Linked DNA regions of Rhinolophus ferrumequinum. The protein of the gene in region 1 interacts with the protein of each later gene in a pairwise test. Links are inferred from orthologs where the notes say so. Each region holds a gene or a part of one and is shown on either strand. Other genes may lie near its edges. The genes, in order: NUPR1, RANBP1, KNSTRN and MPHOSPH6.

Region 1 (6,748 bases):
TTTTGGCTAATTTACAGAAAATGACCCAGTTTTTGGCCTGCATTAGAGTGTTGGGTTGCTCCCACTGCCCTCCCGCTATTGACAAAATGACCCCTCAAAGTCCCTTCCAGATGTAAGACCTCTAGGGCATGACCCAGTTGATATAAACATTTTAGCTTAAATGGAAATCTATACTGTGAAGTGATTATTCCCCTAAAGAGATATTTGAAGCAGCAGGGTTTGGAAAACCTTAATGTCTGTACCTGGGGAAGCACAAGCCACGTATGCTTCCTCTTTGCTATGCCAGAATATCGATAGATGTGCTGAATCATCACACATTGGTCTATCGACCTAGAGAGACCGGTACCTAGTATTTTAATTATAGTGAAACCAGAGGGCAACCGAGTCCAGGGTTCAGCTCAGCCCATAGACCGACACAGGAGCTGGGCTATTTGGAATAAGTGTTTATTTTCAGAGCGCCGAGAAGGCAGCAGGTTAACACCTCCAAACTGCCTTAATGTTCTCAGACCGGCTTGGGGGTATTTAAAGGGAAATCAGGGCTTTCTCCCAGAGACTGCATGACAGTCCCAGAGGTCTGTTCTTCGCGGTGCCTCTCTCTGTCATTGTAAGTTTTTGGTGGCATCTGCGATCTGGGATTGGTGATGGGAGTAGCCTGGGATGAATGCTGAGCAATCGAGTTTTCAATTAACAAGTATACAGGCATTAATTACGAGCCCAGATGGGAGCAGGGCATCCCAGAGGCATCCTGAGCTCAAGCCACAGGCTAAGGAAAAGGGAAGCCAGGCTCCTATTGCAGGGGTCCCTGCTGGGCCCCTGCTTCAATTGCACTGAACTGGGGACAAGAGACTATGGTCTCCTGAATCCAGGAGTAGAATTCGCCGTACTCCAACTCCTTTGGTTAACTAAATGCACTATACATGTCCTCTCCTTGGCCTTCCCAGGACACTGTTTCATGACCTCCTGGTCTATCTAGCTTTTGCTCCTCTCTCCCAGGTCAGCTCACACGTGACCTTCTCTGGGAGTTGCTCACAAGCCTGGGTTAGGTGCACCTTGCAATTGAACATGCACCATCAGCCAATGGGCTGTCGTGAGCCCCTCGAGTACGCATGTCATGTTCTGCTTTCTTTTATAACCCAGCACTGAGCAAGTGTCTGCTTCATAGTGAGTTCCCTAAACATTTGTGGAGTGGAGAATGCTAGCCTCTCTGGTCCTTACTTCCTCATCTGTTAAATGGGTTGCATTTGCTGATCTCTGGGGAGACTTCCGGTAATAACATGTACCACTCTAGATTCTTCTACCATTGTTTTATCTGGCCATCATCTATCTTCCTTAGTAACCAGGAGAAATGGGTGACACCTATATTATGCTGAAAACAATGTATTACAGTTATCTGTCTTATTTCAATACATTTAATGCAAAAACTAGGATTATGCTGTATGTAACGTTCTTCAACCTGCTTTTTTCATTCAACGATGTAGTATGGACAACTTTCTCTTCAGAGCTAGAGACATTATTCTTTTTAACGGCTACAGAGTATTTCACAGACGGAGGCTGATCAGTCACCTACTGATGGACACTTAGGGTGTTTCCTGTTTTTCTCAGCTACCACAAGGCTGGGAGCACTTCAGTAGGACATTTGTACGTAGAACCACAATTATCAGGGTTTCTGTGCATTGGACAGTCTGATCAATATTGCCAAATCGCGTATTGAAAGACAGCATCTGTTTATATTCAAGGTGATGGTGTCACACAGCCAAGAATAATTGCAAGCACCGCTGTGGGGTTTGTGGGCTCCTCTGGACTGGGGCTAGGAGGTCACACAGACTTGCTTCGCCTCATTTAGGCTTTTTGAGTCCCCTGGTTCTACAGCGAGGTCAACAATCCAGCGTGGTTACATATCCTGCCTTCGGCCTCAGAAACTCCTGATGCTTTGAGCCAAAGACGTCTGCACATCTCACGGAGCCATAGATAGGGGAGACCTACCACTACATTCTCGCTGGCGGCTGGGTCGGAGACACAAAAGCAAACATCCGCCAGTACCCCAACAAGGGGATCTTTCTGCACCCCAGTCTCACTGGCGGCTGGGTGAGACACAGGAAGCAGGAGCCACATGACCCGCAATCCGCCGTCCGCTTTTCTGCCTTCCAACCAACCAACCAGCATAGTCACAGCAGTTGTATCAGTGGCGAATGGCCAACCAGTCACAGCTGATGGCCAATTAGTCACAGCTGACGGCCATCTACTACCCGAGCCAGCACCTTTCCACGTGAGGCCGAGAGCCTGGAAAGTGCTCTCTGGAACTCTGTCCCCACACTCAGTTTTCGAACATCCATTCCGGAAGACCGTTGGAGTTCTGAAACTTTGGAAAACAGCCGACAGCTAGGCCTCAGGATCTTGCACTCAGCAGAAGCCGCGTGACACCTTCGACTTTGGAAGCGTGTTCGAAAACCAAAGCATTTACTTCTGGTTTTACCGCGTTGGTAAGCCAAAATGTTCATCAACGGACACGTTGGAAAACCGGGGTACTACTGTAACATCAGGGGGATGGGATATAGGATAAGTGGGTGTGTGTGATATTCTGGACAGGCATGCGCACTGATTTGCTAAATATCCCTTCTCCATGGCGCTGAGCTCACCGATCGCACGTGGTACTTAGTTCCGCGCGACCTCCGCTTCCCACGTGGTCCAAAGCAGGGACTAACTGTTCTGGAGGAATCCTTGACAGGTGGCCTCCACACACAGCTGCCAAACCAGTGCCAGTGTTTGGCCAGCTGTGTTGACTTAGAACGAGCTCGGAAAGGAGATCAGGTCGACTGGGGGAGGGTTCCTTCCCACGCACCAGCCGCCTGACCTTGAACAAGCTGCATTCCCAGCGTTGGGTTTCCTTCTTTGAAGAACGTGGGGGGGACAGGGGTGGTATTGCCGTACCCCACGTGCCCGACTGTGGGCAAAGCCCTGTCACACACTGAGCCCGGTCTCTATCCTGCCTTTACAGAGGAGCAAACTCAGAAGTGGGCCCAGGATGTCACGAGGAATCTCCGGTCCCAGGGGCCCAAGCGAATGCGTGAAAGATCGCCCTCTAGGGGCAGCTCGGGAATTTGTGGGATTTCTTGGTTGTCACAAGGGAGGCAGAACCAGACAGTTGCACACAGAATTGTCTCACGTCCAGCACAACGTCTGACGGTCCTGCTGGATATTCTTGAAGCGAAAAAACTGAGCCTAGAACCTACCCCGTCCGATGTCATGATGGAATTATTTTGCTACTGATTGAGTGATAAAGCCACTACTTAGCAAGAACAGTATTTCCTAATTTTCTCCACCTTCACTTGTCTCCGTGTGGTATCGTTGTTTAAATTAAGGTTATTTTTCGCCTTCTCTTAACATCTGTTCTGTTATTGTTATCCCAACTCTGTTTTTATTCCTGTCCTCCTGTCTTTTCATTTCCTGGACAGTAAAGAACTTACAGATCACCCAAATCTGGAAAACAAAAGCTAAATTGAATTCTGGCTCAGGCCAGGGAGACACGCCAGCTGATGCTACTTCTCCTTAAACAGAGGACAAAACTGGGTTATTATAGAGCTTGGGGAAGGATGCGGTTTAGGTAAGTTTAGATGGAATAGTGTTTCAATAGGCTCACAGCTGAGTGGGGGTTGTGAGCAGAGAATGAACATCTGGGCTGGGCTGACAGGGTCAGATTGTGTTGGAAACCACAGAGTTTAAAAGGAAAAAGAAGAAGAGAAAAGCCTCCTTCCCTGCCCCCGACCGGGGGAGCTGGGAGCTGGTACAGAAGCCTCCTCCGCTGAGGCTTGAGTGGGCAACTGGGGGTGTGGCTTCCGTGGGGCCACAGGACCCACAGGCAGAGCCTTCCGGCAAGAGTGGAAAATTCCACTTTCACATGTTTCTTATCCGAACCCCTTCCTTTAGTTCATTATTACAGGGGTACAAACATCTGCTTACTTCAGAATGCCTTCTACTTCGGTGTATCTGTGTTTTGAAATAGATATTATTTTATTATAAATTAATTTCCTTTTCTGTCTCCTTTACATTACGGGGAGCGCATTCCACCGAGTTGTTTGGAATTAACTCTTACATAGCGCAGCTTACAGTGTACCAGGCACTGTGGCCAGGGCCTTTCCATATAGGATCTCATTTGACCCTGTCACCCACTCTGGGAGGTGGACACAAGTATTAGCATCCTCATTTTACAGAGGAGAAAACTGCGGCACAGAGAGGTGAAGTGACTTTTCTGGGGTCACACAGGAAGTAGTGGGTCAGGGGCTTGAGCTCTGGCTCCGGAATCTGCATTTTTAACCACTCTCTGGCCTCCCTCTCAGAGGAGGAAAGTGACCCAGGGGCCCAGTTCAGGATAGTAAGGAGGCTTCCCAAGATGTTTCTTATAAAAAAGGAGTGTTGGGTGTGACAGGGAGAAGAACCACTGGCCTAGCACATAGTATGTTGCTATCCTCTCCCCATATCCTTCCCTCCACACTCTGCCACCACGGTCCTGAATCTGAGCCAGAATTGTGGTGGACGTGAGGGTCAGCTGTGTAGCCAAGACCCCAAGCGTGGAGGGGGCACGTGGCAGAGGGCAGGAGATGGACAGGATTGGGTGGGCCAGGTGAGGTCCTTGGTCTCGCTGACCAGGATCCCTGGTCATTTTCCTCCTGCTACCTGAGGGGTGGGGATCTCCTCTGTGGAAAATACCAGCTGGGCAGCCCCAGTGAGAGGGAGGAGGCAAGCGGGGGCTGGGACTCACTCTTTTTTCCTCTCGTGACTGGTTCTGGGAAAGAGCCCGATTGCATCAGGCAGGGCCTGAGGGGTTGGAGCCAGACTGCAGGCTGAGGAAGAGACGTGGCCTTATAAATTGGATCCAGTGAACTGTCAGGAGATCAGACACAAACAAAGCTTTAGAAGGCTAGAGAGAGAGAGAGAGAGAGACAGTGAGAGTAAGCCAGACCTGATGGCCGCCTTCCCCCAAGCAGCCAGCCCATCCCAGCAGCCCCCAGGCTCCGAGGACGAAGACCACAGCCTGGATGAGTACGACCTCTACAGCCTGGCTCATTCTTACCTGGGTAAGGCCTGGCCCTGCCATCTTCCTGGTCCTTCCACTTCTGACGCCCATGTCCTACAAATGGTCTGACACCCCCCACCCTTCACAGTACGACCCCTCCTTGGACTTCTCCCCACCCCTCACCCTTTTCCAGCCTGTTCCCTGAACCCCTCATCCACTCAGCAGTGTTCTACTCAGCTCTGGGGCCTCACACATGCCTAGAAAGTTGGAGAAACAACAGTTCACCTGGGCGGCCCTCATTTCTCAGATGGGGAAAGAGGGACGATGACTGCCCCAGAGCTATGTGGTGACCACCCTGCAACTCCCTACTCCAACCCAAGCGCTGCACCCCGAACCCCCACCTCTCCTCTGAGGCTTCTCATCACGCCTCCAGCCACCTCACCTCAGGCTCTTGCCTTTGTTCCCAGGAGCGGGAGGCCGGAAAGGTCGCACCAAGAGAGAAGCTGCTTCCCATACCAACCACCCCAGCCCTGGTGGGCACGAGAGGAAGCTGGTGACCAAGCTTCAGAATACGGAGCGGAAAAAGCAGAAGGCACAGCTCTGAGACAGAGCTGGAGGTAAGGGGTCCGGGGCTCGAGGACCGCGGAGGTGCCTCTGCCTCCAAAGGCCAGGGCTGAGTGTGCGTGGTCGGGTAGGGAGGAGGGATCAAAGAACGGTTGTCTCAACATAGAATAAAACGCGACATACATTTGACTCTGAGTTTCTTAGTGACCAGAGCAAAGCAGGGAACTGTAGACCCTTTCTTACTGGAGGGAAATCTGGTTTACAGGGAGGGAAACAGGCCCCGAGAGGGGAGGGTCTTTCTCTGGAGTCACAGAACAAGTGAGGAGGAAAGGCAGAATTGGAAACCTCTGTCCCTTTCACTACCTGCTTTCCTTCCCCAGATGAGGCCAGAGCACAGACCCCACACAGCGATGGAGGCGCGACCACGCAGGAACGAGCCCCTTGGGGGGCTCCAGGCCTGCTTGCCCCCAACGATATCCCCAGGACTTACCCCACAGAGACTCTGAGGGGCCACCAAGGAAGTGCCCCCCAGCCCCAGAAAAAGGGCAAGATGGGGAGCAAGAGGTAGGGAGTAGAGAGGCAGAGTCACGAAGGTGCGCCCCGAAAGAAAGACACCGAAGAAACCGGAGCTCCCTGGGGTGGCGGCGACAATAAACAAAGCACAGAGCTGCAGCTTGCTTTGTCCTCGTGTGTGGTTTTGTTGGTACACAGTTCTGCGTGGGTCTGCTGTGCACCACCAACGAGCGTCTTCTGTTAGCGTCTGCATTTGATTCTGTATCTGGGAGGGGGGACTTCTGGTTTTGTGGGAGCGTGTAGAGGGGTGTGTGTGTTTGCGTGTTTGCTCCAATACGCATGTCTTTGGGTGCATACGTTTCTGTGGTCTTTTATGGGATGCAGGGGAATTCCTCTGCTGCTTTGTAACACTGCTCAGGAAACAAGCCCCCTCCCCAGCTCCTCTCCATTTTCAGAGTAAGGATCTTGTTGATTATGTTGTATTCACAGAAAACCAGCTTTGGGAGTAAATGTTCCTTACCAGTGCCCATCTGTAAAATGGAGAAAACTGAGTCTTAAAACATTAAGGGACTTGCCCCAACTTCCTCAGGGCTCAATTTCAAGGATGCTTATTGTCCTCAAGTGTGGGGTGGGTCCTTTTGCCCAGGGGGCTGCCAGGAC
Region 2 (7,611 bases), on another chromosome or scaffold:
GCCACCCGGGGCCCCCACCTCACACTCACTCCACAAAGTTGCCCATGGCTGCCCGGGGGTTGCAGGAGACATACAAGAGCCGCTTGAGGTTCTCAGCTCTGCGGATGGCCAGGATCACTTTGGAATCTGAGGAAATAAGACTCCCTCAGGGAAACGTCCCCACCTCAAGGAGGGCTGGTGGGGCTAGTGAGCATGGGCATCAGGCCTGAGGCTGCACAGCCTGGTGTGCCAGCCAGTGTCACTACCCTCTTCTCCATCATCCCCAAATGGATGCCACTCACGTAGGCCAGCACGAGGCGGGTCCAGGATAGCAACAAGCTGCTGAGAAGCCAGTCTGCTCACCACGGTGGGCACCAGGTCTTCGGCCCTCCCGCAGTGGAACTCAACGTTGCTCAACTCTGTAGATAGCACAGCAGCCCTGTCGGGACGCAGGACACCGCCCCCGCGCACCCCCTCGGGCCTGCCCAGCCGCCTGGTGTCCTGATGCCCCTGTCTTGAGGCACCTTAAGAAAACCTCTAGCCAAGGAGCCTGTTAGCACTTGTGTCACACAGCCCGGGCCTTGCGGGCACACATGGACACAGCAGGAGCCCTGCTGTGCTCTGCACACCGCCCTGCCCTCACCCCGCCCCTAGAAGCCATGAAATAAGATTTAGGTGCTGTGCTGAGATGACTGCCCACTGGTGCGCTGGCTCTCACCATTGTTGCGGGCATTCACATGGGCGTCCTCCACAGCCTCCTGGCACAGCTCAATCCCGATGACTCGCTTCACTTTCTGAAGTGAAGAAAGGGCACAGACTGATAGTGCCCTGCCCCACCCTGGGGGCTTCTTGGGGAGGGGAGTAGCAGGAGGCACTATGGGGAGAAGAGGCTCTGGGACAGGCTGGGGGTTCACCTCAGTCTTTCAGGTGGGGGTCAGTGGGGGTCACGAAGAGGTGATAGCACATGGGTGGGGGTAGGCAGAAGGTGTCTTCAGCTTGGGGCAGGAGGGCTCACCCGGGCTAGGGCCAGGCCAATGGTGCCAGTGCCACAGCACACATCCAGCACTGTGCTCCCGGAGTCCAGCTGGGCCCAGTCCTGGATAACCGTGTAGAGCACCTCCGCGGCCGGGCTGTTTACCTGGAGGGCGGGCCAGCACCACGCAGGATGTCAGAGCAGTCCTGCGTCCCAGGTCAGCCTCCCCTCCTGCCGCCCCCACCACGCCTGTACTCCGCAGGGCTCTTTCCCTGCTAGGAGACCTGTGGCCCAGTCCCTGGCTTACTCCCCCTTTTCCTAGGTCTCCTGCTCCCACCCCTTCCCCACCTCCAACTGCCCCTCCATACACCAATGCTGCATAACCTCACCCAGGGCCCGGGCCTTAAAAAGCAACTTGATGCTGACCCCTTCTTCCCCCAACTTATGAACTGAGTGCCAGATGTATGGGGCCACCCACAGCAGCAGCAGGCATGGATGACTCCATCACAGTTCACACAAGAGCCCTGGCATCGCCAACTCCTACACCCCACATAGGGCCCTCAAGCACACTCGTCACAAGGGTCTAGTTAGTGCAAACGACTTCATTCCGACCTCACAGCCCGGATGCTCTCCCCCAGACCTCTGCAGGTGAACAACTTGTCACCGCCTAGCGCACTGCCTTTATTACATCTTGACGTCACATCAGGACTCCCTTTGTGTCTTGATTATGAAGATACGGGGACTCTGGACTACCTGAAAGAAGGCGTGAGGGGAGATCTGGAAGGTCAAGCCCAGCAAGTCCTCATGGATGCACCGGTCCCCAGCCACGTGCTCCAGGGGCAGGCCCTCTTGGCTGGGAGTCTTCCTATGGGTGGTAGGCCAGTTGGTTAGTGTCACCAGCTCTGGCAGGAATCCAGCCCACCACCTACCCAGGCTCCTCACCGCTGTCCCTCCTCCACAAAGTACAGGCAGGTCACGCCACTGGCCTTGCCCGGCCCTGCTGTGAAGTGCTGCGCCAGGGAGGCCTTCAGTCCTGCCAGCTCCTCAGGGCTCAGTTTCTGGAGTAGGAAGTAGAGAAGGTCCTGTGAGACTGTGTTGCATGCAGCCCACTCAAGCCAGGACACCCTCCCGCAGCAGGGCCACCCTGCCTGAGACCTGAGGGTGGAAGTAGGCAATGGCCATGGCTTGGCCTCGGCGGCTGGTGCGCACGGTCAGCTGCTTCCAATGGCCTGAGTATGTCTCTGGGTTGTACGCCGAGTATGGAGTGGACCTGTGGGAGCCACGAGCGGCCGTGAGTCCATGAGACCTGCCACCCATGCTGACCAGAATTGGGAGATCAGCCTACCTTCCTCTCGTTCGGCCACACCCACCAGGCAGGACCCGGCCCTCTGCTCCCAGACCACCGCAGGACATCCCGGAGCCCCCAGCCCAGCCACAAGTCCTCACCGGATGAAATCCTGGAAGGCCTTCACCACCTGCTTGGTGGCCTTGGGGATGTGCACGGTGTCAAAGGGGGCCGCCACAGCACATGTCCCACCCTTGTACTTGCCTAGCCGGCAGCCGACCGTGTTGTCCTCCCCATCCACCCCGACGCCAACGAGAAACTCACACTTGTTACGATACTCGGTCTGCAGAATGGGTGGAGGAAGGCAGAGACATTCCTGACCTTACCCTGGCATTCCCGCACTTGTACATGGAGGGAAAATTGCAGGAAGTGAGAGATGGCAACGAGTGAGAGGTCCCAGCTCCCCAAAGGGCCTGGCAGTCCAGGGCACAAGGCTGACAGCAACCAGCAGTCACGTGACGAGTATGAGGAATAAGTGGAAAGCAGGAGGGATGGGAGAGATGGACTAAGATAGCTTCTTTAAGAGCATGGGGTGAAGGTTTGTGGGCCTGACCTGCTGGGGTGACGGCCTGACTCCCTCCAGCGGGCAGCAGGCCTTGTTGTGCTTGTGCTTCTGTGAGAGCAGCCAGGGCACCAGGGCACGGTTGGTGCTCCCAATTTCCCTGCAGGGTGAGGTGAGGCCGGGGTTGGACTCAGCCTGCTGCTCCCAACCCATCTCCAATCACTCTCCAAATACCCAGGCACCCAGAACCTCCCTTGGGACCTCATTATCCCCACTGGTAACTCAGGGGTCTTACTGGTTAGCTCCCCAAGACAATGTGCAGACCCTGAGTGTGTCTGTACAGTGCACAGGATGGGCTTGAGTGAACATGGAGCTGAGCAGAACTCCAGTGCCACATAAGTGACTGTGCCCTTACTCACTTGGCGAGCCTCTGCAGCACCTGCTCGCACTCCAGCCGCTTCCGCTCAAGCTGCTCTGTGTAGGGCACGGTCCAAAGAGGAGTCACCACATCGGCCACACATGTGGCTGGTGGCTCACTCTCATCCTCACGCTGCCTCTTCCTGGCCATGGGATCAGCTTTAGGCCTGGCCAGGCGCACTCTGAGAGGGCGGCCCTTCCAGAGAGCACCGTGCAGCACACGCAAGGCTTTGTCCCGCTCAGCGGCACTGCGGAATGTCACAAAGGCGCAGGGACGTTGCCCAAAGAGTTTGGTCTTATGGGGCTGCAGGCCAAAGCGGCCCAGAAAGTGCCGCACATCGCTGAAGCTGGTGCGGCGTGGCACGTTCTGCAGCTCCAACTTGAAGATCTCCGAAGTGAACAGGTCGTCCCTTATGTAGCTGTAAAGCCCAGGCTGAGGCCCTGACTCTGCAGCCGCCCCAGCCCCCTCTTCCTCCGTCTCCTTCTGGGGGGCGGGGGCTGCAGGGCTGCCCAGAGCACTGCTGCTGTCCTGGTCGCAGCCCTCCATTGGCCCCGGGCCCTGTGTGGACACAGGCAGGGCTAGGATGAGGGCTGAACGCCCAGGCTCCCCGGCCGCACACCCAAACCTCCGTTAGTGCATCCTACACCCATCCTACACCTACCCCTTTTTACCCCCACTTCCTTCCTCTCCCAGCTCAACTCCCCGTGCCCACGGGTTTCCTACCTCTCCCCCCCCTCCAGCCCCTCCCACGCAGTCCGCCATCTCGGCCCCGCGTCTCTTGCTAGGATCTCCCTTCACTTTACTTCGTTGTCGAGTTTATCATTCATCGTCCAGTTTGTCCAAGGCCTGGACTGGAAGCCCCACAAGTGCCGCCTCCGCCTCCTCGCCCTGGGCCTGGCGCACAGAAGGCGCTCAGAGCACAGGTGCGGCGCCGAGAGGCCGCCCCCGGTCCCGCCCCGTGAGGGAGTGGGTAGGACTGGAACCCTAGGTGCTCAGGTCCACGGTCTCGGGTATGGGGTACACTTCCCGCCCGCCAGAGGCCCCGCGCACGCCGCTCTCCCCGCCCGCAGCTCTCCCGTCGGCCAGTTCGTGCAGACTAGGTGGCGCGTGTCTATTATCCTAGCTTCCGTCGACGTCATCGCTGTGCGCCGGCACCGACCCCGGTGTCTGTCGCCTGCTTTCGAAAGCTCGAGGGGCGCGCGCAGCCGTGGGGCGGAAGTGCGCGCGAAGGCCGCCGGGAGCTCACGCTGCTCTGTCCGGGCGGGCCAGGCATGCGCCGCGGACGTTTTGGCGGGAAGCGCGGGGTGGGCCGGACAATGAGATTGTCCGTCGCCTGAGCCAATAAAGCTGCACTGGTTTTGAATCACGGCGCGTTTCCCGCCGCTGGGGTCAGGGGTCAGGGTTCGGGTCGCGGGGCGGAGGGAACTGCGGGCGGGCGGGAGGCGCCGGCGCCAGACGCGGAGGGAAGGAACTACGACTAGCCGCAGAGAGGCCGCGGAGCCAGGGACGACCAAGCCAGCCGAGCCGCCGCCGCCGCCGCCGCCGCGCCTCCATGGCGGCCGCCAAGGTGCGGCTGGGCCCGGGCAGGAACTGGACGGGGGCCGGGGGGCCGAGGCCGCTATTGGCGGCCACGTGGGCGGCCCGCGCCGCCGCCGCCAACCCCCGCTGTCCTGCGGTCTCGGCGTTTGGGGTCTCGGTGGCGCGGGGTAGGGCTGTGGGAAGCGCGGCCTGGGGGTTCGAGGCCTTCGAGACGGGGGCGCTTGGGACCTGGGGGCGCGGGCTCGGGCCCGGGGGCTGCGGGGTGCCCGCGTGACCTTGGGGCGGCCCCGGGTGGTCGGGCGAGCTCCATCAGGACGTGGGGCGGCCCCGCCGCCCCAACTCCTTGGTCTCGCGTTCCTCTCACCGCTTGCCAGGGACGCAGGGCGGGTGGCGGGTTTCCTCTGCTCGGCCCACTTGCGGGCTTCTTACCAAGACCATGCATCCCTCCTTCTCGTCGTCTGCGCAGCACTTCATTCATTCTGTCCTAGTCTCGATCCGCCACAGGCCTCTGCGGCAGGACCTCTCGCGTTCCAGCGGGGTGGACGGGTACTGGACGCGCCGACCCAGGGAGGGGACGGCTTTGTTGGCTGCGTGGTGGCTGCTTGGGTGAGCTGGCTGCGGCCGAGCCGCAGTGCTTTCCAACCAAGGAAAGCAGCGAAGGCTTATCTTTTCTTTTTCGGCTTACATCTGGTAGTGAAGTGTCTTGGTTTCTTTTGGTTTTATAGCTCACCAAGCCACTCGTCCTGTAAACACTTCGATCTAACATAAGATCCTTTGTGTTCTATAGTTCTCTAAAATGGACCAGCATTTTATGGCTTTTATTTGTATGTTGTCTTTTGACTTATTAACTTGGTTTCTGAAGCAACATAAAGGTGCTGACAGAACTGTGAATTTTGTGTAAAACTAGCAGTCCCAACTTTTTTTTCTTCTAGTAAGCAAGAGCACAGATTTTTCCCAGCCAGTAAAAACTCTTAGGGTTGTTTTTTTGCTTTAAGGGTGAAATTGCCTTTGAGGCCCTCTTCAATTCTTCCTTCATTGTGTCTTTTGGTCTTCACGTGGCAGTATCACTTATCCACATTTTATAGATGAGGAAACTGAGGCTCAAAGAGATGGGGCAGTTTCTCAGGCCATTCCACCAATAGGTAGCCGAGTTTTAGGCATCCCAGTCAAATATGATTGATGCATCTGGGGGACGATGCTGAAGTCCAGCGTCTCACTGTATGCTGGACGTACATGCAAACCTTTCCTAGTGTGAAAGGCTATGGGCTTAATCTCTTGCTTTGGGATGAGGCCATTCACCAGTGCGAATGGCCACTTCCAGCAGTCACCTCTCCACACCTCCCTCCACAGGACACCCATGAGGACCATGATACCTCCACCGAGAATGCAGATGAGTCCAACCACGACCCGCAGTTTGAGCCTATAGTTTCTCTTCCCGAGCAAGAAATTAAAACGCTGGAAGAAGACGAAGAGGAGCTTTTCAAAATGTAAGTGACCTGATGTTACTTCAGAAATAAATATTGTTAGTTGAAGATGCAGTTTAAGGTTTTTATGGGTGTCGAGTTTCTGGCCTGACCTTTAATCAGAGTGAGGCTGAAGAAAGGGCCTAGACTTGTGTGATGGCTAATACTACGTGGAAATCAAGGTTGCTGTTAGAATCCACTTATTAGATTACTTACTAGTGGGTGCCACTGCTGCCCCATGGCCAGTGCTGTGGAGGGCACAGACACTCCCTAGAGTCCTGTCACTTCTGCTGTGTTCACAGGGTGTATTTTCCTTTGTGTCTCAGCTGACTCCCACAGCCCCTTTCCCCTGGTTGAGCAGGGAGTCTCTACCTTTACTTCCGTTATTATTAATATTTTTGCCATGGATTTTGGCAGTTTGTAGCTTGTGAATCCCTGATTTATGTTTTTAATGCACAAAATTAATGCCTGGAATTACGACAAAAGTGGGTGGTGTTAGAATTATCAAGATTACTTTTAAAAATTACTCTAATTGTGCTTCTTGGTGCCTTCAGTGAGAAGCTCCAGTGCAGGTGTTATTTTGAAGCAGTGCCTGCCCTAGCAACGTGTTGTTGAGATGTCTGCAACAAAGTCACAGCCCTGCCCAGCCTGTGGCCTGTTGCTTATGCTCAGAATTGCAAGAAATGCTAGGTTCAGTTACAAGTTAATGGTGATAGTGTTTCCCTTGTCCAAGCTTGTGGAACTCGCCTGCCCCTCTTCAGATCTATCCAAGATACCAGGTTAAGACGGGGGAGACCAGCCCCTCCCCACCACTCCCAAAGGCCTGGGAAAGGAGAGGTGGCAAACCCCTCTTTGGTCTCAGGGTGGTGGAATTGCCCTGAAAACACTGGTTCTCCAGGTCTCTGCTCTGTCCAGAAATGATGCTGCAGCCAGGGGCTGGCTCCTCCCAAGAGTGAGGACTGCTGGTGGAGCTATTGCTGTTACCTCCCTGCCCGCACAGAAGGTGGGAAGTGCTCCTGGTGCCCTAGACACGAGTCCTTCCTGAGGGAAGTGAAGCCAGCAAGTAGGGCCTTTATATCTGGGCCCTTGGGGCTCTAGGCCAAAGCTCTGGAGGTGGCCTTGTGAGAACATCATCTCTCTTAACAGAATTGCGTTTGGGAGGGAGAGCAAAGTGTTCTTCAGTAAAGGTACCAGCAGAGCTGGGGTCCTGTGATGGGGAGCAAAAGGGCAGGATGGTCAGTGGGGTTGGGAAACATTAGCCTGAGCCCTAGGGCAGGACTGCTGGGATGGGGGCCTTGCATGGCCCGGTGTGAGGTGCTGTTCTGGGCAGGGAGGTGGGATGTTGGGCCAGAGCCTGGTGGCCTGAGCTGAGGCCTGTAGCTCCCTCTCTGG
Region 3 (7,132 bases), on another chromosome or scaffold:
TTCCAGCCTTGATCCAGGCTGCCGCTTACTTCCCACATCTGGAGGATTCAGTGGGGAAGGTCTTTGGAGGGAAATGCCAAGCTCTCCTTGTGACCTGCTAAGGGCTCGTCTGCCCCACAGTGCCAACCAGGACCCACCCTCTGGAAGGGGGAAGGCCAAATATGTAGCTCCAGGTATTAGGGGAGGTGGACCTGGCCCCCAGGCCAAGTAGCAAGAAGTCCAGTGGAACTAAGGGGCCCAGCTCTTGGGACCCTGTGGGGGTACCTCAGTGAGCAAAAGAGCCCTGAGGAACGTCAGTAGCCTCCTGGGCCTCACACCTTTCAGGGGCTCTTTAATAGGACACTTTCTTTTCTTTGGGGAGCTTCTCTGGGCCAGTATTGGGCTGGGGCTTCAATCCTGAACTGCCCTGCCCCCCTCACACACCCCAGTCTGACCAGAAATTCGTCAAGGCCGGGCAGAGATGGCAGCTGGGAGTGAGGCAGGAGGAGGAGCGCTGGCCAGCCTTGGAGCATCCCTGTTCTACTGAAGGCTTGTACCTCGTGGGAAGCTGTTCTGGCAGGGAAGAGTGGTCTCCCCTTGTTAACAGTCAGAATCCTTTCCATCCCTGCCTCTTTCAGTTTACAGAACACTTCCATACCCATTGTCTCCTTGGAATCTCACTTCACTATGGGGTAGCCTGCAGTTGGCTAGGCTCTTTTGCCCCTAATTTATAGGTAAAGACATCGAGACTAAGTAAAGTTAAGCAATTTACCCCAAATTACAAAGCTAGTAAAGGAGAACAGGTTTCCAGACCCACTCCACCACTACAACTCCCACTCTCCTCCTGGCTGCCTACCCCAGGGACATTGGTCTGTGGCTGTCCTCATCTTTTACCGCCAGCACCCTGCTGTTACCGGCATCCTCTGGGGTCTCTGAGTAAACTGCCCTCCCCCCCTTTTAGGCTTCCATCTCCAGAGAGAGCTACTCTGCGCAAGCCTGGAATTCCCCCATCATCCCTATGTGTCCTGCCTGATAGAGAGGCTCCCCTCCCACGCCCAGACACTGAGGACAGCAATAACTCAGGCCTACCCCATAGGGGCGCGTGTGAGTCTGAAGCTGTTCCCCAGGTAGGGTTCCCAGCTTCCAAAAGACAGGTCTCTCTGGTGGCCCTCAGCAGACCAAAGGCTGACTCCTCCCCCCCAAAGCAATGACTCTCTCTGGAAGATTTATCCCAGGTGAGAGCTCATGACAGAAACATCAGCAAGTTTACTGAATACCTGCTCTGCATATGGTACTGCAAGGGGACAGAGTCATGGAAGGAAAATCAACATCTACCCTCAAAGAGCTCAGCCTGTAGCTGGGGAAACAGCTTAAACGTCTGCACGAGCATCAGTGGGTCACTGAGGGCATCTGCCTGTCACCATCAGTATTGCTGGAGCTCAAGTACCCAGGACTGGGTAACCAGGAAGGCTTCCTGGAAGAGGGATGACTTGAGCTAGGCTTCAGAAGTCTTACGTATCTCAGACTGGAAGGAACCTTAACAATCATCTATTCCAGCAGTTTTCAAACTTTGTAGCCTCAGGACCTTTCTTCAAAGAATCTTTGTGTAGAAACACAGTATATAAAACATAAAAAACAGCTACTCTGGTGAGTGCTGGGTGGGGGAGGACAGAGCCAGTTCAGCCTCCTTTTCTGCTGTGCCTCTCAGAGGGCCCTGGAGAACCCCTCAACCTCCTGACTCCTGCACAGCATGTGGTGTGAAAACCCCTGACTCAGGCCATTTTACAGATGAGTATTACAGAGGGGGAGGGAGTTTCCCAGGGACAGTCTGTGGCAGAGCTGGAGACAAATTGGGCTGTTTTGTTTTTATCCTATATTGTGGAGACCCGCCTCGCACCCCAAGCAGCCCATGAAAAGTGGGACAGAAACCCAAATGAGACAGGCATTGTGGGAGAGACAGAAGACTGTGGACAGGGTACTTTGCAAGATAAATAACTCCCACCCATTTGACTCGACACCAGGAAGTGGAGGGAGTGAGTCGGACCTGACTTGGACCTGTGCCCGTGGGGGTCTGCTTGGGCCCCTCTCTCCTCATGTCCAAATGGAATTGAGCCTCTCTGGCTTCGGGCTGCTCCTCGGGGTCCTGACTTCTCGGCACCACAGACCATGTCCTTCTGTTATCACACAGCCAGGCTGAGAGAGCCCTGGCCTCACCTGGGACAGTCAGCCAGAGGGAGGACAGGTAAGCCCTTCCTCCTGAGCATGAGCAAAGTCTGGCCTTGACTCAAAAGAGAGTCCAGCATTGTCAATACTTCTCAGCAACTCACTGAGGTTCTTCTGCCCTGTGCTGTGGGAGGGCCCCCGGGACCTGGACCAGAAAGAACCTGCTCCTCTACACCCTCTTTTGTGTCTTTCTGGGGCAACATTGGTGTCTGGGACTGGAGCTTCCAAAGCTTTGCCAGAACACAACCACTGAAATGTGAGAGCCAGGGCACGGGGTGGGCACCAGGGATTTGGGCACACCTGAGGACCTTATCGGGGATTTCTGGGTCCCATTCATCCAGGCCATGGCCATACAACCCTACTGGACGGCAGAGGAGCCACAGAAGCTGATGTACTGACTGGATTTGTTCTGTGTGCCTCTGGGCCCAAAGGACTGGAAGAACCCAGTGGCAATCAAAAACTTCACCTCGTACCAAGAATGGCCTACACCCAACAGCAGACACCCCACTTCAGCGGGTAATCCAGCCTGCCTCCCTAGCCCCAATTTTGGAAAGCATGATTTAAAGCATTTTCTATTTCCTTTGAGTTTCCGCGGATCTAGTCACTTTGTTATTATTGTAGGTGGTTACAATCAGCCAGTGGCCCAGGACCTGTGGGGAGAGGCTTAGACGCATGCTGTGAGGCCAGGGAAAACCAGTCAAAGCATTCACATTTGGTCTGGAAAATTCAAGAAATGGTCTCTTACCACTGAGACACTTTAAAATACAACTACATTGACACTCATTTGGGACTTGAGAGTGTTTCTCCTATTCGTGTCACAGATCCTTGAACTCACAGATTATGTGTGGTGTGTTTTTAACATGTAACTCGGTATAGTTTGTTACTGTGGGAAAACCTGTCCTTCCATGGCTGTGGCGCTTTTGTGACAACGTTAAACAGAGATTGATTTGACTCTCAGAATCTTAGATTCTGGCACATGGCATATGCTATACCATGGTATTTAGGCAACATCCCAGCTTGAGCCTGATTCTGAAAACGACATCTCATAAGAGATTTATAAGCCAAACTTGCTCAGCCCCCTGCATCTCATTCCATTCTTCTCCCAGTGAATGACGGACAGGGAGGCAGAGGAGGGGTATCAAGAAAGACGATACATTGATTTACAGCCTTCAGCCGTTGTCTGGAGAATTCCTGTTCTTTTATTCCATGGTGGCCTCATCTCGGCTTTGGATAATACACATGGCAATGCCAAGCCCTCTGGCACCCCTGCCATGCATCAAGATCCCGTTTGCTTGGGGATAGGAAAAGCAGACATTCCTCACCCTTTCTACCCTTACCCTTGTTCATAGGGGCATCGGTAACTCAAGGAGTGGAGGTATTTATGTTTAAGAGAAGAAATTGTAACACAATTCACCAGGAAGATGAGAAACAAAAGAAAGCCATTATGTGCTATGTAAACGGCTAGCTGTCCCAGGCCACCTTCGCTGAAGAGCCCTGGAAGGACTTTGATAAACTTATAATTATTATCAGGCCTCTGTGTGGTTATTCATGTTATTCCTCAGCGTAGGAAAAAGATCAGCATTTTACCAAATTCACAAACATTGAATAAGAGCTTCAGTATTGCTAAAGAAAATCACACAGGTGGGCAGAGTGATGCAGATCTGAATTCATGACCTTCAACCTCAACTGGAACCTCAGCCCTGCCTAGCTAGTTTCCATTCTAATTACTAGTTTCCATTGTTTGTAATGACCATTTCATACTTTCTCTACCTTCCCCAGATATCTGACGCCCTCCACCTTCCACACCTCCACTTTCAGTAGACAGCTCATCCTTCATAAAGAAAACTGGAGGTATCAGATAGAAGTCCCCAACTTACCTCCCTCTGCGCCAGCCTGCTTCTCTCCCCATCCCTTCTGTTACAACAAAGGAAGCACTAATGGCTCTATCAATGGCTTCACACACTGCACCAGAGGCCTTCAAACTAAGGCTTGCATTCCCACAGCGACATGAAGTTTTTCCAAAAGGTAGGTAGACACAGACAGTTTTTAAGGGAATCGATTTCCAGAACTTCTTCCTTCATAAGTTCCCTCTCCTCTTATTGATCAGCCTAAGAAGGAGCCTTAGGTCAGCCAGTTCTGCTTGATCTCCACTTTCCCAACTGACTCCCTCCTTCATTTTGAATCCTACTCTGGCACATTGCTCTGCAGTATAAAAAAACAAAAGGACTACTTGAGAGTACTCGGCTTGAAGAAGTCCTTGAGAGAGCAAAGCCTAGAGAGTTGGCTTTGAAAAATTTTGAAGGGGACAGCCCTGTAGCTCAATTCTGTGCCTTCTCCATTTAATTTGAATTCTTTATTTTAATTGAAAAACAAAATTTAAAAAAAGTTTTTTTAATAAAACAAAATCTGACGTTTTCTGATGGAAAGTCAATCTCATTTGGCTGATGGGTTTGACACAGAGGACTGGCTTTGCAAATAGGATATATGGTGGACATTTTCCAGAAATGGAATCATTTAAATCTGAAGCTTCATGGTTTGAACAAAAATATATTTAAAGTACATATACAACTTCCCCTTGCAGCCAAGATCGAGTAGCAGGAACCAGATTTACCCTCCTTTCTAAAACAACCCCCCAAACAGAAACAACAGTTTTCACAACTCTGGACATAAGACAACAAAGGACAGTGATCCTGATGGACAAGAAACAAATGAGGTGACCCTATGATTGCCTGGCTTACTGCTTGAGAGAGTTTCCAGGATGTATTGCAGGGAGGGAGAACCCAGGCAGGGCCATGCAGACTTCCTGAGCTGAGGAGATAGCTCAGAGTTTGGGGCAACCAAGGTAGCTAGAGTGCTCAGGACAGAATACTGGAGAAGAGAAAAGTGCGCAGAGAGAGAAAGAGAGAATTCTGGAGATCTGCAAAGGGCTTCCCTCAAGTATTCAGCAGAACACTGCTCATTATATAAGTGTGAGGAAACTATTTAAGACCAAGGAAAAAGAACCATCAAAATGATTAGAGGGAACAGTAGCCACTAGTCGCACAGGGCTGGAACATTACCTATTCCCATTAGCCAGACTGGAAAACCTCATAATTTATGGAGCATTGGTTAGAGTTCTCAGAAGGATCTTGCCTCAGTAGTGAGGACTCATTAGCCCTAGTTTAAACATTGTTCATTCCCACCTAACAAATCTTAAAAGCAAGACCTGACAGGATCAAACTCTTTCTAAGTAATGTAACTGCATCCCAGAACAAACCTCCAAAATATCTACAGGAACACAAAACCAGCACTCAAAAATGTAAAATTCACAATGCTTGAGGTCTAGTAAAATTACCAGTTATGCAAAGAAGCAGGAAAATATGACCCAGAGTGAGGAGGAAAATCAATTGGCACCAACTGAGAACTGATACCTGTATGAGTCACCTGACAAGGACATCCAAACGATTATTATAACTGTATTCCATATATTCAAATAGCTAAGTAGAAACTTGGAAGATATTTTTTCAATACCCAGATTGAACTTGTAGAGATGAAAACTAAAATGTCTGAGATGAAAAAGCAATGGATGAAATTAAAAACAGTTTAGACATTGCAGTAAAAAGATTGGTGAACTTGAAGACATAGCAATAGAAATTATCCAGAATGAAATACCAAAAGAGAAAAGAATTTTAGAAATGAATAAAGAGCATACATAATATATAATATTGTGTTCCCCTAAAAATAAGACCTAGCTGGACAATCAGCTCTAATGGATATTTTGGAGCAAAAATTAATATAAGACCCAGTCTTATATAATATAATATAATATAATATACCCAGTCATATATTAATTTTTGCTCCAAAAGATGCATTAGAGCTGATTGTCCAGCTAGGTCTTATTTTCAGGGAAACACGGTAGGTAGAAAGTGTGTCCTTTACAAATATTTACAATTATGAAAATATTTAGGCATTAACTACAAATGGGTGAGAGGGTACATTGTTTTTTTTGTTTGTTCATTTTATTATTTGTGGGAGTACATGAACAAAAGAATTTGAAGATGCTGCTGTAGACCCCAACGTCCTTTCCTCTTTCTCTATGGCTTTGCTCCTTTGATCATCCCCTCTGTCCTCTGAAGCAACCTTTTCTTCCTCTCAGCTGACTCATTCCCATTGGCACATGTATCAGTTAGGATCTGCATCTTCGAGATTCCCCCCAGCCCACCTCCAGTTACTGCCCAATTGCTCTGCTCCATTCACAAACTCTCTATACCTGCCATCTGCTCCCCCAGCTCTCATGTACTCTTCAACCTGTTCCAACATGGCTTTCACTCAAACCCCTCCACCAGAATTTCTCTTCCTATACAATGACTTATTTGTTGCTAAATTAAAGGCTCCTTTTTATTTCCCATCTGGCCTGCCCTTTCCGTTATTTTCAATAGTTTACCACTCCCTCCTTCAATAGTGCCTTACTTCTTCCTTCTTAGCTACTAAGATACCACCATTGATTTGTTTTCTTCTCACCTCTCTGGCACCTCTTTATCAGGTCTCTTGGCTGTCACCTTTTTATTGTAACCTTTAAATGCTGCTGTCCCTGTCGTTGGCCCTAAGTGTCTCTGTACTTTTTCCCTCGGTGATCTCATTCAATATCATGGATTTAAATGCACCCATATACACATGACTCCCAAGAGTGTATCTCCAATCTAGACTCTCCTCTGGGCTCAAAGCTGGTATTTCCAACTGCCTGCCTGACAGTTTAAACACTTGAATGTCTCAGAGGCATTTCAAATTTACCATGTTCAAAACTAAACTCTTAATCTCCCCCAACACAAAATAGTGAGTATCCACACAATTATTCAAGCCTGGGAGTAATCCTTCAGATCGCCTTATCTCTTATCCCTCCTCCCCCCGCCACTTCCAATCTAGCACTGAGTCCTGAGATTCACCTACAAAA
Region 4 (7,671 bases), on another chromosome or scaffold:
TAACTCATCCTGAGGTGTCAGTGTAGATGTCACTTCCTCAAGAAAGTCTCTCCAATCTTCTCAAATCCAGATTAGGTTCCCTGTCATAACTCATCTCTGTGACAGTATTTAGGACCTGTATCCATACTCTCAAGGAAGGGGTAGTTTCCCCAGCACCTACCAAAGGCCAGGAACATCAGAGATGCTCCAAAATATTTGTGAAAGAATGAAAAAGGCAGGAGTCAGGGAAAAAACAGGAGTCTATAGCAATCAGAAAGTAGTAAGATTTAGCCATTAAATTCAGGGATAGGTTCATGGCAATGGAAAAGAAAGGATGAATGGAGTACAACAAAAAGAAAGCTAAATGGAAGGTTCACAAATCTAAATTCTGAGTTGACACAATTTTGTATATATAACTAGGAGATTCACCCAGCTCAGTAGTTTTCTAATCCTGGCTGACCATCAGAATCACCCAAAAATCAAGAATAATTTTTGGTTTTGACATATTTAATTCTCCCATTGTCATAACCACTAACTGAAGTTTAGTAATTATTTACCTGCGTGTCCTGTAAGGCCACTTCTTGCATTAATGCTCTAATTTAGCCAAGATAGCCACAAAAAATTGATAGGACTTGGTAAGTAGCTGAATGTAAGAGCGGAAGGGCTATATTACACTCGATTTTTAGGCTAATTGACCTCGAGTCACAATTTACATATAAACAGGCAGCCAATAAATACTTGCTTATTAAATGAAATAGGGAAGCAGGAAGAGGGAGCACATTTTATGAGAAAGAGTAGATTTGATGTTGGCTATTAGTTTCTCAACTGACACTCTACCAATTATTTGTCCTTCAGGGCTGTGCTCTTCTTTCCTGCCTTAAGTATATATTTGTCCTTGCCGTTGCTGTTTTTGCTATTTTAAGGATTATCTCTTCTTTGGGTTATGGCACCCAATTTCTCTTTAAAAAGCTTTCCCTTCTCCATTTTATATATTAATACATGGACTATAAATCAGGTCTTGCCCTCTCTTAGCTAAGACTCAATGAGACTCTCTCGTAGACTTTGAAAACTTGAGTATCCTAAGAGCAAAAAAATCAGCTGGTGCTCATCATTCTTTCAGTGGCACTAAATTCTTGCTTACTAGATCCCTGGACCACTTTGGTTTCCATCCCGTTAACTAGGCCTTGCTCTCAGGCCTTTTCATTACTTCTATGAACTACCCAGTATCCTTCTAAGAAACCCCCATTTTATCTTGATAATAGCTAATAAGCTATTATCAATGTCGGGCACTTGCCAAACAACAAAATAACAGAAGCTAACACAGAAAGGAAAGAAGGAAGGGGAGAGAGGAAGAGAAGAAGGGGGAAATGCAAGCCATATATGTAATTTTAAATTTTCTAGCAGCCGCTTTAAAAAGGAAACCGCTGACATTACTTTTAATGATAGGTTTTATTTGAACCACTGTGTCAAAACTATTATTACAACATGTAATCAATATGAAAAAATACTAAGATATTTTACTTTTTTCTCTCCAAGTCTTTGAAATGTGGTATTTTAACACTTACAGCCCATCTCAATTCAAATGCTAAATTTTCAAAAGTTAAAGTAAAATGCAGTCCTTCCAAGACCATAAAATGTGTATAACAGGAAAATATTTTATACTGCTAGTTTTTAAATTTAACTAAAATATTCAGTTCCTGAGTCACATTAGCCACATTTTAACTGTTTGGTAGCTACATATGAGTACACCTACTGTACTAGGCTGAATAGCCTTACATATAATTGGCTACAAGAGTGAAGAGACTCGGGACCTTTTCTTGATGGATGTAGTAGTTGGAAGGAATTGGGAAGTTTTCATACTTCCCAGAAATTCCATTATGAAAGGATTCAGAATTGTGAGAATATGTATAGAAATTTCTCTTCCCCAAAATGATGTTTCCTTGGCTGTGTAACTAAAACAGGTTAACACATTATTGTGAGACCCAGACTCTATTCTACAATTTAGTAGCATAGAGAGATCAGTTACCTTCCCTATCAGAGAGTTTAATTCAAAGTTAAAATTACATTATCACATACTCTTAAATCAGTTCATTCATTACATTTTGATGGGTATCAAGAGATTTTGAAGATTAGTTTTAATTATAAATATTTTCACTGTCAAATAAAAATGTAGAAATTTGAATGACAGGTTGGAGAATCTGAACATTATCCCTCAGCTAACAGTTATTGTACATATTGGAGTAGGAGAGTGACATAATGAAGTCAATGTTTCAGGAAAACAAATCAAAATCCAGTGTGCAAGAGGTCCATAGGGAAGGTGTGGAGTTTCTAGCATCCTTAGCTAGTGTACATATACTCTTATTTCTGTCAGGAATTATTATCCTTTTACACTGAGAAGATATGTGCTCATCCTTCAAGGTCTAGTTCAAAGTCAGCTGTTTCTTGGATGCAGATGGCAGTGACTTCTTCACCTCTGATCCCACAGAACTTCTTTCAAAATCCTGAAGAGAAGTCAAATTCAGAGACAGACAGTAGAATAGTGGTTGCCGGGGGAAGAGGGAATGGGGAATTATTGTTTAATAGGTACAGAGTTTCCATTTTACAAGACGAAAAGTGTTCTGTGGATGAATGGGAATGATGGTAGCACCAAATTGAATGACTAGAGGGCCTTTCCCCAGCCTAACTCCTTCCCTTTCAGCTCTCAACTTAAATGTCACACCTTTAAAGGCCTTCCCTTTTCCAAGCCAGAATGGTTTGCATACCTTTGCTACACCCTCTCATGAACCCTGCACTTTTCTATAGGACTCTTATTACAATTGTAATCTATAGCTAATTATATGGTGTAATTAGTTTGCTAGGGCTTCCATAACAAAATAGTACAGACAGGATGGCTTAAACAACCAAACTTTACTTTCTCACAGTTCTGGAGGCTGGAAGTTCAAGATCAAGGTGTAGGGAGGTTAGGTTTCTCCTGAGGCCTCTCTCCTTGGCTTTCAGATGGGCACCTTCTCCCTGTGTCCTCACATGGCCTCTCTTCTGTGCGTGTGCATTCCTGGGGTCTTCCTGTGTGTCCAAATTTCCTTTTCTTAAAAGGACACCAGTCAGATTGGGTTAGAACCTACCCTAAAGGTTTCGTTTTAACTTATCACCTCTTTAAAGGTCCTATTTCCAAATGCAGTCATGTTCTGAGACAAAATCCAGATGAATTTTGGAGGGAGACAATTCAACCCATAACAGGTAACTAGCTCTATTGTTCCCACTTGGTCAACTCTATGACGACTCGCATCCGCATTTAAGGACCTTTGCAGTTGCTAGTCCCTCTTTTTAGAACATGCTTCATACAGCAGGTTTTTCTTAACTTTCAGGCCTTAGCACGATGGTCTTGTAAGAACCATCTCAGACCATCTTATCTAAAGTAACCCCCAAAGTCACTGTCACCTCCTCATTTTCTTTCTTCCATGGCACTCACCAGAATGTCAGCCCCAGGCAAAGGAGGTCATGTGTTTTTCTGAACTACTGTAGCACAGAGTTTAGCCCAGTGTCTCACACAGTGTGGTGAATGAATGAGTTTTGATAACCACTTACCAAACTGTAATTTTATTTAATCCAGTGAGAAAACCTTCCGAGGCAGGGCTACCTTTTCATGAAGCTTTCCGAATCTCCCCTCGTAACACTTACTTGCTGTGAGAACTCTGGCAAGTCCCTTAACCTCTCTGGGCCTCCGATTCCCTAAATATATGATGACAGTAACACCTTTTCAGGGTTCTTCCGAGGATTAAATAATACCCGTATGGTACCCAGCACAAGAATTTGGCATGTAGCGCATGTTATCAGCTGAGATGCCATTAGGCTGGGTGTTTCCCAAAGTGTGGCACCTGTGAAAGGTGTGCAAAATGTTTAGCGGTACAGAGCACTGAAGCTATCATCTTTTCAACGATTTAATTGGAAATAAGGTTGTGTTCTCGCCCTCATGTATCTTTGATTATCTCTTGCTATTCTTCCTATTTAACAGAAAGATCATTTCGGTTCAAAGACGCACACAACAGTTAACAGGTGAATTTAACATGGTTTTCCATTGTATTGCTGAAGCCAGAGCGCCAGGGCTTACACCCACCTCCCTCAGTCTGACTTCGAACTAGCGAAGGACCCTCCCTCTACCTCAGTTTCCTCAACTGCAACACGGGGATAAGAACAGTACCACCCTACAGGGTTATCGTGAACATAAAATGAACTATTACACGTCATGTGATGCAGAACATAGCCCGCCATCCGTGTTAGAAACACGTGAAAGAAAAGGATGGGGAGGCAACCGACTCAAAGGTCTCACGAGGACAACTGAGTCAACGACGCGCGACAGGACTGAGTCCGTAAGCGGGGTGGGACTCGCCACTGCCAGGCCCTGGGTCGCTCTGCCCCGTGCGGAGCCTGAGGGGCCGGGTTGAAGCCCTCAGGGGAAGGCAGCCGACAGCTCGCAGCGACCAGAGCTCCGCCCTCCTCCGGCTTCAGCCTCTCTGGGGTCTCCCTCCCGGCGTTAAGATTCTCTGCCCCCGTGGCGGGCGGTCGCGCCCTTACCCTGAGCTTCTAGGAGATGCATGCGCTCCCTGAGGCGACACGCGAAGAGCCCCTGACGCCTTCGCCCACGAGAAGCAGGGGCGGGGCCACAAGGCACGGAGACGCGCTCTACGTAAAATGACGCCGCTGCGTACGCAGCAGCGCGCGTGCGCAGTGGGGCTCCTGGAGGAGCGCGGGGCCTAGCGGAAGCCAGCATGGCAGCGGAGCGCAAGACCAAGTTGTCCAAGAACCTGCTGCGCATGAAGGTACAGGGACACTGGGGAGCCATGCCGGGAGGGTAAGGCCACCTGATTCTCCCGGCCTGGCCGAGGCCGAGGCACTGGGCGTGCGGGGGCGCCAGAGAAGCGCCGGAGGGCATCCACCTCTCGCGCTCATTCATTCCCTTAGCGTCTGCTCTGCGTTAGGCACTGGGAACCGGATTAGAAATCCGGCGTATTCTCTCTTAAAGCCGGCGGGTGGGAGACGCAGACACGTAAGCGAGCAGTTAGGATACAGCGTACTACGTGCGGTGACGCTGGAAGCGCCCGCACCTCGGGGAACTTAACGTGGGCTTCTGCGGGAAGTGGTCCTAGAGACTGAAGGGTAGGTGGGAGGGTGGGGAACCTAACAACATAAACTGCGGGAAGAGCGAGTTCAGAAGTTTGAGAGGCAAAAACCAAAAACCCATGGTGATTTTTAAGAACTAAAGATAATTCATTATGTCCTGAAGGCAAGTAGCAAGAAATGGGCCTGGAAATGTAGGCGGGTCATTAACATGCAGGAAATTTTAGGCCAGATTAAGGAGTTGTTTTCTTTACCTTGTGAGTGTTGGGAAGCTATGGAGCACAGGTAGCAGTTATCAGCTGTGCCTCTTACTTTTCAAGGTTACATTAACTGTCCTGTGAAGAATACGTTGGTGAAAGAAAGACTCGACAGGACAAAATTGCAGTCAAAAAGACCATCTAGAAGTTTAGATGATTTGAGTGAGGGGCACAGTGGCATTGCAATGGAATTATAACAGTTCAGGTGAAAGTGAGTTATGTCACCCAACGTTAAGCAAAATTGATTTTTATATTTCAGATTGGATCAATTTAACCAAATGTCAAAATGGCGGAAAAAGACAAGGATAGATAAAATAAATACAGGAATTAAAATAGGAAAAACAACCAATCCTTAAAACTTAAATAATAATAGCAAACATTTACAGTTCTTGCTGTGTGCCAGACACAGTTCTAAATGTTTTGCATGTATCAACTCAAGAAATCCATATACGGTGTTTCCCCGAAAATAAGACCTAACCAGACAATCAGCTCTGATGCACCTTTTGGAGCAAAAATTAATATAAGACCCGGTCTTATTTTACTATAATGTAAGACCGGGTCATATAATATAATATAATTAATATAATATAATATATACTGGGTCTAATATAGTATAAGAGCGGGTCTAATATGATATAAAATATAATATAATACCGTGTCTAATATAATAGAATTCCGGGTCTTACATTAATTTTTGCTCCAAAAGACGCATTAGAGCTGATTGTCCAGCTAGGTCTTATTTTCAGGGAAACACGGTGATAACTCTTGAGGTGAGTGCAGTTATTATCCTTCTCTAATAGTCATAGCAACTGAAACAGGGAAGTAATTTGCCCAAAGTTACTGCTTATAAGAAGTGTAAACAAGACTCAGACTCAGGCAGTTGGTACCAGAGCCCCTTGCTCTTAACTACTTCTGGTCGCTGAATACTTATAGATGTAAACTGTTAAATGTCGTGTTTAGAGAATTGTGGAATTTCCAAGAAGAGGAAGCAAGGCATAAATAATGTTTTGAAAGATTGGACAGTAAATATTGGATGGGCAAAATCTGAGTGGAGTTGAGCTAAGGTGTAACTAGGAATGGATAGGGTGAGGGTAGCGGGTAAATCATAGCATAATTTAGTTTCCAAAGTACTTCTTTCATGCATATTAGCAAACTTTGAATCTTTACTGAACAGTTTTCTTGTGGCTTATGGTATGTAATCATGTAGATTTCAAAGAAGTGAAGTGGATTGACAAAGCAGACCCTGAAAAGATTTTAGCAGTTGTTTTAGCTCTTGGATAAGTCAAATGAGGCCGTACTGGGTGATTAGGGCTCAGATCAAAGAGCCCTGACTTTGGAAGTAGGAATGAAGAAATTGACTAAAATTATTCACCTCTAACGCGAGTGGTTCAGAGAGACTCGACTACACATTGGAAGCAAAGGAGAGGGAAAAAAATACCCAGGTTCTCTATTTGGGTTAACAACTTCGGGCATTGATAAGAAAGAACTTATTGAAAGGCTAGCACGAGACACTATATATACAGACAGAGTGGAATGTTTTATGAGAAGGAATGAAGCAGCTGCCTGATGTTGCAGTATACAGTATAGCGCTTCAGCCAGAGCTAAGTATAGAGCAAGAAGGAGAGGGTGGAGGATTTAATCTTGACTCAGTTGTTTTCCAGTGTACTTGAAGTCCTCTGACTTGGGTCAGCTGTTGGGCTGGAGGTTGATCCTGATGGGAAGTAAAAAGTGAAGAATGTCAGTGGAATGTCTGTCGGTATGATGGAATTGTTGTAGTGAGGGTGCTTATTTGTGATTTTAGTTCTTTTGGACTCTTAAGACATTTTTCTGTTAAGAGACAGATAAATACTTGAGGCTTGTGGGCCAGTCTCAGTTGCAACCACTCAACTCTGCCATTGTACCTCAGAACCAAATGCGCGTGGCTTTGTTCCAATAAAAGTTTATTTACAACAGAAGTCAACCCTAAGGGCTGCAGTTTGTGATACCTGCTGAAGGTCCTCAGTTGTGAGTACAGCTAAATCACTAGTTTTAAAGTGTGTTCTTAGATGCTGTGGAGTCAGAAGAATTGAATTTCTGTCTGAGTCTGGAGTTGCTTTATTCCATAGTAACTGGGTGTTCTATCCTTTCCATATGCTTAGAAATGTGTGTGTGTGTGTGTGTGTGTGTGTTTCTGTACATACTTGTATGTATATGGTTATTTTGTGTACCATAAAGAATGTCTACTTGACTTAAAAATAGGAGGAAAAAAGGGCAGTTGGCAAGATTGGTGAGTTTTACTACCAAGAACATGAGTGATGAAATGAGACATCGGGACTTAAAG

What was found.
Region 2: the proteins of NUPR1 (region 1) and RANBP1 interact in a two-hybrid assay, tested with the Homo sapiens proteins (2 studies listed by BioGRID and IntAct). The link is inferred for Rhinolophus ferrumequinum from reciprocal best matches to the Homo sapiens genes NUPR1 and RANBP1.
Region 3: the proteins of NUPR1 (region 1) and KNSTRN interact in a two-hybrid assay, tested with the Homo sapiens proteins (2 studies listed by BioGRID and IntAct). The link is inferred for Rhinolophus ferrumequinum from reciprocal best matches to the Homo sapiens genes NUPR1 and KNSTRN.
Region 4: the proteins of NUPR1 (region 1) and MPHOSPH6 interact in a two-hybrid assay, tested with the Homo sapiens proteins (2 studies listed by BioGRID and IntAct). The link is inferred for Rhinolophus ferrumequinum from reciprocal best matches to the Homo sapiens genes NUPR1 and MPHOSPH6.

Annotation. Positions count from the first base shown.
Region 1 is NW_022680357.1:1,129,436-1,136,183, forward strand, and holds NUPR1 (nuclear protein 1), read left to right. Parts: upstream 1-4,804; 5' UTR 4,805-4,960; coding exon 4,961-5,072; intron 5,073-5,478; coding exon 5,479-5,615; 3' UTR 5,616-5,628; intron 5,629-5,955; 3' UTR 5,956-6,247; downstream 6,248-6,748. UniProt on the Homo sapiens protein: Transcription regulator that converts stress signals into a program of gene expression that empowers cells with resistance to the stress induced by a change in their microenvironment.
Region 2 is NC_046308.1:24,568,748-24,576,358, forward strand, and holds the start of RANBP1 (ran-specific GTPase-activating protein), read left to right. Parts: upstream 1-4,610; 5' UTR 4,611-4,769; coding exon 4,770-4,784; intron 4,785-6,106; coding exon 6,107-6,243; intron 6,244-7,611. Other genes in the region: TRMT2A (tRNA (uracil-5-)-methyltransferase homolog A), read right to left, coding at 30-126, 282-398, 698-773, 995-1,117, 1,706-1,817, 1,895-2,010, 2,108-2,222, 2,399-2,580 and 3 more. UniProt on the Homo sapiens protein: Plays a role in RAN-dependent nucleocytoplasmic transport. Alleviates the TNPO1-dependent inhibition of RAN GTPase activity and mediates the dissociation of RAN from proteins involved in transport into the nucleus.
Region 3 is NC_046289.1:64,664,179-64,671,310, reverse strand, and holds the start of KNSTRN (small kinetochore-associated protein), read left to right. Parts: upstream 1-4,128; 5' UTR 4,129-4,139; coding exon 4,140-4,227; intron 4,228-7,132. UniProt on the Homo sapiens protein: Essential component of the mitotic spindle required for faithful chromosome segregation and progression into anaphase.
Region 4 is NC_046298.1:28,028,661-28,036,331, reverse strand, and holds the start of MPHOSPH6 (M-phase phosphoprotein 6), read left to right. Parts: upstream 1-4,660; 5' UTR 4,661-4,745; coding exon 4,746-4,796; intron 4,797-7,671. UniProt on the Homo sapiens protein: RNA-binding protein that associates with the RNA exosome complex. Involved in the 3'-processing of the 7S pre-RNA to the mature 5.8S rRNA and play a role in recruiting the RNA exosome complex to pre-rRNA; this function may include C1D.